Daphnia pulex: one gene and its partner. Each later gene encodes a partner of the first gene's protein in a complex. Links are inferred from orthologs where the notes say so. Each region holds a gene or a part of one and is shown in the gene's direction. Other genes may lie near its edges.

What was found.
Region 2: the proteins of apoptosis-inducing factor 1, mitochondrial-like (region 1) and mitochondrial intermembrane space import and assembly protein 40-B-like are in contact, whole or in part, in a cryo-EM structure (PDB 9GQZ), measured with the Homo sapiens proteins. The link is inferred for Daphnia pulex from reciprocal best matches to the Homo sapiens genes AIFM1 and CHCHD4. Residues at the interface, in NP_004199.1 of Homo sapiens: Pro345, Tyr347, Ser500, Ser501, Leu502, Pro503, Thr504, Val505, Gly506, Val507, Phe508, Ala509, Lys510, Glu558, Asp559, Tyr560, Asn602, Ala605, Lys606, Phe608, Asn609, Ile610, His611; in NP_001091972.1 of Homo sapiens: Arg5, Glu7, Lys9, Asp10, Arg11, Ile12, Ile13, Phe14, Val15, Thr16, Lys17, His20, Thr22, Pro23.

Annotation. Positions count from the first base shown.
Region 1 is NC_060023.1:11,493,471-11,497,878, forward strand, and holds the start of apoptosis-inducing factor 1, mitochondrial-like, read left to right. Parts: upstream 1-1,320; 5' UTR 1,321-1,432; coding exon 1,433-1,514; intron 1,515-1,598; exon of another isoform or gene 1,599-1,624; coding exon 1,625-1,809; intron 1,810-1,870; coding exon 1,871-2,285; intron 2,286-2,771; coding exon 2,772-2,905; intron 2,906-2,972; coding exon 2,973-3,103; intron 3,104-3,165; coding exon 3,166-3,341; intron 3,342-3,521; coding exon 3,522-3,707; intron 3,708-3,877; coding exon 3,878-4,074; intron 4,075-4,138; coding exon 4,139-4,279; intron 4,280-4,408. UniProt on the Homo sapiens protein: Functions both as NADH oxidoreductase and as regulator of apoptosis.
Region 2 is NC_060023.1:8,613,465-8,617,011, reverse strand, and holds mitochondrial intermembrane space import and assembly protein 40-B-like, read left to right. Parts: upstream 1-1,463; 5' UTR 1,464-1,625; coding exon 1,626-1,647; intron 1,648-2,350; coding exon 2,351-2,546; intron 2,547-2,610; coding exon 2,611-2,806; 3' UTR 2,807-2,891; downstream 2,892-3,547. Other genes in the region: uncharacterized protein LOC124197866, read right to left, coding at 3,188-3,292, 3,364-3,484, 3,540-3,547.

The DNA of each region.
Region 1 (4,408 bases):
ACTGCTGGACATGAATTTAGATTTTGTATTGAAAATGAATAGCGTCAAATTAAATTTGTTTGACTTTTATTACACCATTATTGGTCAGCTTAAATTTACTGCTGTGTAATCATGGTGATGGGTTGGTGCCATCATTCAAGAGTAATTGTTCCGGTTTGAGTCGCATGACCGTGACGAAGGTACGCACCAAATTTGATTACCCTAAAAAGGCAATCCCACAGACCACTGATCTTTTAGAACCGCCGACAAAACCTGTTATTAGCGACCCTGTACCTTTGAAAAATTGTGAGTCGCAATTTGTGACGAATGATTAAGTCGTCACAAAAAATGACGTTCAAACGGACACAAAGCCAGCGAGGTGAGTTTTCCACAGGCAGATGACTAATATTTCTATTTTGTTCGCCATAGAAATCAAACCGAATAAAAAAAGGTACATTAATAACGCTGCTAGACAGGAGTGCTGCATGTTAAGTAGAAGAAGAATTGAGCTAAACAGCACACGCAGGAGTGCAACAAATATTTAAAATATGTACGCACCTGACTGGACATTTCTAGGTTTAAAATGCTAAGTTTGTTCATCAGTGCGTGGTGATTTTTCTTGTTAGAAAAATGAATAAGGAAATTCGCCGTAAATAATTCCTTTATCCCGCTCTTTATATAGCGTACAGTTACCTTGACTTTGAATGTAGGGTTCACTGCGGTCGCTGTATAGAGACATTTCTTGCCTGTATAAATAAACAACAGATTTCAAAAGGATGCGAGGTAAAACCCGTATTAAAGGACCAAAGATCTATCGGGAAGGAAGAAAAAAGTGCGTCGTTCATTATTTGCGTGCGACAGGGAGAAACGGAGCTAAACAAATTTGACGACAATGGCCGGCAACAACTTATTAAGTTTCAAGATCATTTAGCCAAAAGGATATTTAAATTTCCTGGTCTTGGAAGGGGACGTTTATTTTCTTTGAACATTATTGGGCGACTATCCATTAAACCACAAACGAATGCTCTCGTTGCGTAGCCTGAGGGACGAATGACATTTGCAACAGAAAACAATTAATTGGCAAAAGTTAAAATAGCCTAGTAAAGTAGTAATCCTTTTTTAAACTTAACGAATTCAGAAATATTTGTTTGAATCATAGTGCAAATAATCGCCACAGGTGGCGTAAAGCTTGTTCTTTCTTTAAAGCAAATAATGAGAAAAACTTTTTTTCTATCTGGTTAACATTTTAAAAAATTTTTAATCATTAAATTATCGCTCTTTTTCATATTCTTATTCATTATTTATCACAAAAGAAGTGTGTTTCGAAATTGGCAACGTTCTCTGATCACGTGCTCCAGAGTCCTTTCTCCTCCTCCTTTTTCTCCATCTTGGCCATTTTCGAGGACGTGACCGGTCTCAATCTCGAAATTTTCGTTTACAAATCGGCTCGAAAATGTACAGATGCCGGCAATTGGTTTCTCAATGCTCAACCACCATTAAGTCAAATCTTGGTCATGGCAGACAACGATTTGTCGGTAAGATATAATTTCATTCATTTATGTGTAGTTTATATGAATTGCCAGTTTCAAGAAACTATAGCAACGTGTCTGTAAGTTTAGGAACTGATACGATGTGTATTAATTAGGCGAAAGTACAACTAAGAGATTCGGCTCAGATCATGGCTACAACCCGCCAGCAATTAAACCGGCCACGTTGAACGAAATGCCTACACCTAAGGGTTCTTGGGCTTCAGAACATTCCCGAGTACAAGCAAAGTACAACATGCACTTGGCTGCAGGTTTGGGTTTCACGGCTTTCACAGTTTTTGTGGTAAATTAAATATTTATGTAAAATGTTACAGCATCGCTAACAGCATTTTCTACACACACAGGGATACCAAACAGGTTCATTCTACCTTAACCTTGGCCCCGAATTGAATACCAAAGTCAATGTATTGAGTCACGAACAGGTTCGCAAGCAGGCAGCAGAAGCTGCAGCAGCCGCTGCTACAATTGTAGAAGAGCCTATTTCTGAACCAGAAGTTGTTGCTTCAGTGGAAATTGTTGAAGAGGTTGTTCCAGTTGCAGTTGTGGAAGAAGCTGCTCCAGTTGCAGTTGTGGAAGAAGCTGCTCCAGTTGCAATTGTAGAAGAGGTTGTTCCAGTTGCAGTTGTAGAAGAGGCTGTCCCTGTGGCTGAAGTTGCTTCCGTCATCGTTGAAGAAGTTGCTCCAGCATCTGTACCTGAAAGTGTAGAAGCTGTCCCAGCTCCTAGTGGAAATGAATCAGGGCCCTCTGATCAATCAGAAGGTGAAGTTCAATCTGATCCTACAGTGAGTGTTGCCTTGACTGTAGAAGTTGTTGCTGAAACTGTTTCTGATGGTTCTTCATCAGTCACAGAATCACAATCATAAGTTAGTTATTAATTTAGACTCATTCGCTAGAATAGATGAATTGTATCAAAACTGCCACATCTATTCAGTCCATTAACAAAATAGTCTTATTTTGGAATATCGCCAATTTTAGCCCAGTGCCCAAAAATTTATTTTAACCTTCAGAGTTTATTGTTTGTAATTTGCCGCAACACTGGCTAAATTTCGATTCAAAGTGTAGGTTGTGAAATATTTGATGAAATGAATGGTTGGTGGAAGACTTATTGTACGTTGGCCGATTAGAAGCAATACAATTTCGAGGGAAGCTGAGTGTTTGATCAAGAAATCCCTTCTTTTAGCTGTAGAAAAATTTTCTTAATGTAGAAAAGTTCTTAATTTTATTTTTTTCCTTTTTTTTTAACAGTAGTTCCAGCTGCAGCAGCAGCCGTTGCAGTCGCCGGTGATTTTCCCGTGCACGTTCCTTATCTATTGATTGGAGCTGGTACTTCATCGTTTGCCGCTTTCCGTGCCATCAAATCACGTGACCCGAAAGCAAAGGTAAAAAAAATTTTTATTGGTTTTGTTTACATGCATAGTAAAAATATTTGTGTTGTACCCATTACAGGTTTTAGTCATCGGTGAAGAAAATCACTTGCCCTACATGAGACCACCTCTGTCGAAAGAATTGTGGTTCAGTGAAGACCCCGAAGTTTCAAATAAACTTCGATTTAAACAGTGGAACGGCAAAGAGCGAAGGTGAGCCCAATGTTAATTACAACTATGTGGAACATGTACTAATGACTTATTTTCCTTCCCAGTCTCTTTTTCGAACAAGACGAATTCTATTGCAATCCCGTCGAATTGAACAGCAAAGATAATGGCGGCGTTGCAGTTGTACGTGGACACCGCGTCGTTAAACTTGACATTGTTGGTCGGAAAGCCGAACTTGACGATGGTCGTACCATCACATACGACAAGTGCCTTATTGCCACAGGTAAACATTTTATGCTAAACGAAATTCGTCTTTAAAAGTCTCAATGATTACACCCTTATGGAATGTTGAACAATTTTGATAATTATCCTGCTAGATAGTATCTGAGAGCCTTTTTAAATTTCAGCAATTTATTTGTGTTTTTACGAATCACTCTAAAAATGGCCGTTGTTTTATTGCTAGGTGGTAAACCGAAATCTTTGCCATCCCTGAGCAGTGCCCCTAAAGATGTCCAGGAACACTTAACCTTGTTCCGCAACATCGATGACTTCCAGCGACTCGACTCCATCTCCCGCCAGGTCAAGTCCATCACCATTATCGGTGGTGGATTCCTTGGCAGTGAACTTGCCTGTGCTCTTGGCAGAAGAGGTAAATAATTGAACCATTCATAAAATCATTTTAGTCACTGTGATTATAAATTATGGAATGTTGAACGACTATGATTGTCTTCCTGCTAGATAGTATCTGAGTATTAACCTTGTTTTGAATCCATTCAAGTTGTTGGCAAATTGCATAATGGAAACATATCTTTCATTTAGCCAAAAGTAATGGATTGGAGGTGCTTCAAGTTTTCCCTGAGGACGGTAACATGGGCCGAGTCCTCCCTAAATATTTGAGCCAATGGACAACCGAGAAGGTGAAAGCGGAAGGTGTTCAGGTTATGCCCAAAGCTATTGTTGAGGGTGCAAGCTTGGAAGACAACAAGGTCGTATTGACCTTAAACGATGGTCAAAAGGTAAACATTTATTTTAATACATGTCTTAGCGATGTCAACTAAAATCTAACAATTATTTCATCAGATTAAAACTGACCATGTTGTCGTTGCTGTTGGTTTGGACGCAAACACGGATTTGGCCGTCGCTTCTGGTTTGGAAATAGATTCCAATTTTGGTGGTTATCGAGTCAATGCCGAGCTTGAAGCACGATCAAACGTCTGGGTGGTAAGAATTCTTGGAACATTTTTCATTTCATATTTTTGTAATACTTGTGATTATAACTTAATCAACATTGACTTCTCTGATGTTGTTGCTAGATAGTATATGAAGTTTTTGTTAAGTAATTTTACACCT
Region 2 (3,547 bases), about 2.9 Mb from region 1:
TGGCTGCGTATTACTCACAGAGACGCCGGTTACAAAGTGGGGAGAAACAATTTGAATTTTGACGCAACAACGACTATGACACGCTTCTACGAACACAAAAAGACAAACTAGATGCAATGGCACACGTTTTCTATCGATTAAATTAAACTAAAAACGAGCAATGTTTAAAAAATGTAAAGAAATAAAATTCGGCCTTTACCGGAGAAAGCAAAGTTACACCAAAGCCGGCACCGCAAGCAATAACGTGGCGATGAGACGCTTGCCTTCCCTTTATGCCCTTCTCTGTCCCTTCCTCTTCCTTCTCCTTTTTAGATCTTGCAACGTTGTCGCTACGGCGTGGGGAGCTTCGAGAAATTAAGGCCGAAACGCTGCAACTGACGCCACCCCAACTTTCGATCTAAAAGCGCCACCTAACATGAAATCGCAAATTTTTAAAATAACAGTCAACTTGATATTTTATATGGTAACTATTCAAGCTAGATCGCTTTGAATGAATTAATAGATAATTTGAGGCTGATTTCATAGTCAACAGTCACCTAAAGCTAATTAAACATTGGGTTGCTGTAGCCGACACTAGGGGCGCTGGCGTACAACCACGGCGATCGATACGATCGCATCATTTGGGTTAACCTAGGGCCGAAGTCTGGTATTTGTGAATTCTGCTTGGAATTTACGTTGCCCCGTTCGTTCGTTCTTGCTTTTCCGTTGCCTTATATGGTCATGAATTTGTCGCTGAAAAAGAGGATGGGAAGTCCCACTCCCACCTTTAGGGATAAACCCCACCCGACCGCTTTTTCTACACTCCCTTCTATCAACAAGCCTACACGTGTCCTTATAAACGCAACACATTTTGACATCTATAGATACCTTTTGTTTTTACCATATCCTGCTCCAAATATGAAACTATCGTTGAAGAGATTGTAGGCAAACCAAAATTCCTTTCCTGTTAAGATTAGAGCGTTTGCATCATACTGTTGTAACAGAAAATTAACGTCGAGTTTGAGATCATCAATTGCGTGTTATAAATATAACGGCTTCAATTCAGACGACTAGAGACGCCTTACAGATGACAGCTGGCTTAAGCTTAACGGAATAAACAATTTCAATGCGTTATGCGTTGGCGACTTTTGAAGGTACATGCGAAAAAGCTAGAAAGACAAAACAAAATTCAGTTCATTCTAGCACAAATCATTTAGCTGACACAGTTAGACCCTGAGATTTTCTCCTAAATTTCTCCTCATTTTTCCCAAGAATTCCTGTTCCAAACAATTAAGCTCGGTCGTCTAGTCCAAAAGTTCCCAATTGTTGTACCGTTCCACAATAAATTGGATTGCATCATTCAAGAAACATCAAGATAAGCATTTCAGTGCTGCACCTTCATTCAAGTATTCAACCGGCTCCGTCGGAAAATGACGACGCAAAATGTCACATGGTTTATATACGAGTTGAGCCTCTGGTCCACAGGTGGCGTTCAAATCGCGTGACTTCAGACGAAAATACTTTTAACGCTTTTAGCCGTCAGCTCTGCACGTGAGAATATCATAGTTTTCGCCGGTATTCCGGTTTTTTCCTTTAATTTTCTTGAATATTCATTGCGAATATTAAATTTGTGCCATAAACGAAAAATGTCTTACTGCAAAGAAGAAGGTAAGTTACAAAGTTTGTTATTTATTCTCTCTGGTAATTCAGATAACCGAATGACTAATCGCACCATTCACTAAAGTAACGACATTTGTAAGTAGATGTATAGATACAAAAGTTCTTGTTGATTAGATTTTTTAAAATCTTGATAGAGTTTTGGAAATTGTACTTATTAAGCAAAGAAACTGGAGAATCAAAACTCAGATTGATTAAATCAGTGCCCCACTTCGATCCAATCCTAACTGTTCTCAGCTTAAAAACTATGAACTATACATATTTTGAACAAGCCTGAATCTCATTGAATTTAAGAATGCTTCCTTTGAAAAATGCTTGTTTGTTTGCTGATCTTTATTGGATTTCTCACTAAAAATATGCACACTAGACAATGTTTCAAACGGTGAAAAATTGTTATGTAATCTCCATCAATGAAACCAACATTTTTTGTAAAGCTTAAAAATCATCTGACACTTTCTCCAAGTAAACACAGCTTAAATGTAGCAGCTCTCATTTGAGCCCCAATTTCTACTGTGTTGAAGTAGTGGCTGAGGCATTATCCACTCCTTCTATATCTGGCATAAAATTTTCTGCACTACAGTCCCTGGTGTCTGATTTGCTGTACTTTGATAGTCTCTCTCTGTCATGAACTTGTGGTTTTTCACTTATACCTTAAATGTCATTAGCATTAAACATTTTTTTAATTATTCTGCAGGAAAAGACAAAATTGTCTTTCTAACTCCCGAGGATTTGCAGAAACCTAGCACACTCACCTTCCCCGATGAAGATGAGCCAGCAGGTCTTATGCTGCCAAATGGTGATATTAACTGGGACTGCCCGTGTTTAGGAGGAATGGCCACTGGTCCGTGTGGAGTTGATTTCCGAGAAGCATTCAGTTGCTTCCATTATAGGTGATAACACATTTTCAGTTTGCTTTTTTATTTGCCTACTAAATGATGTATTTCGTTTTTATAGCGATGCTGAACCCAAGGGCAGTGACTGCTTTGAATCCTTTAAGGCGATGCAAGAATGCATGTCCAATTATCCTACATTATATGGGAACGATGATAAGCCATCAGGAGAGGAGGACGAAGAAAACGAAGTGCCCAAAGAAGAGAGCAAAGAACCCTCAAAAGAAGATTCAAAATCTGAAGCTCAAGCAAAAACATGATGTCCATTATAGGAATTTAGAGCTACAAATTGTGTTTTAATTTGCTGCATCTCATGTAATAGCATTCTATACATAGTCATTTCTTCGTCGTCTACAGAGTTCCTTGGGTAGAAGGATAGAAAAAACGCTTCTCTGTTGCAAAAAAAAAATTAAAACTCGGTTTGAGAACAAATGCGCTTAAACATTTAACTTTGTATTTAAACTCAAAATTTTTAGAAATATTTCGACCCTAAAGGTGCTGTGAAGGAGACAAGATGCCGATCAGCAATGGCGTGAAGAAGCATTAAAGGCCACTAATTAAGTAGCGAATGTGAACTCAAATTTCTCCGTTTCCCATTAGGTAGAAATAATTTGTAATTCACCTTAATTCAGTAATCTTCCTCAAACAGCTCGAATGATGCAACAAGCCAAACGACGGCCAGTATTGCCATTGGCTAGACTCTCTGTATCACGATTTTGTCCCAAATCATCCTCCTTCTCTTTGATCTAGATTTTTTTTAGGTAACAACAGATTTAAGTTTTTATTCAAATTATACGCCATTTTAGGTTTCAGTTACCACAAGGGTTCGGTGTAGAATGGAATTAGGTCCAGTCATCAGCGTCGCGAGAGAATCGGTAAACATCGCGTTAATACCTTGGTTTTCAATAGCTTCCACGTTCCCGAAATCTCCAACGTGCCTAAAGCGGAAAATGGCGATTTCACGTCGTGTCATCCTGGAAACAAAAAGAATACCTTGTACG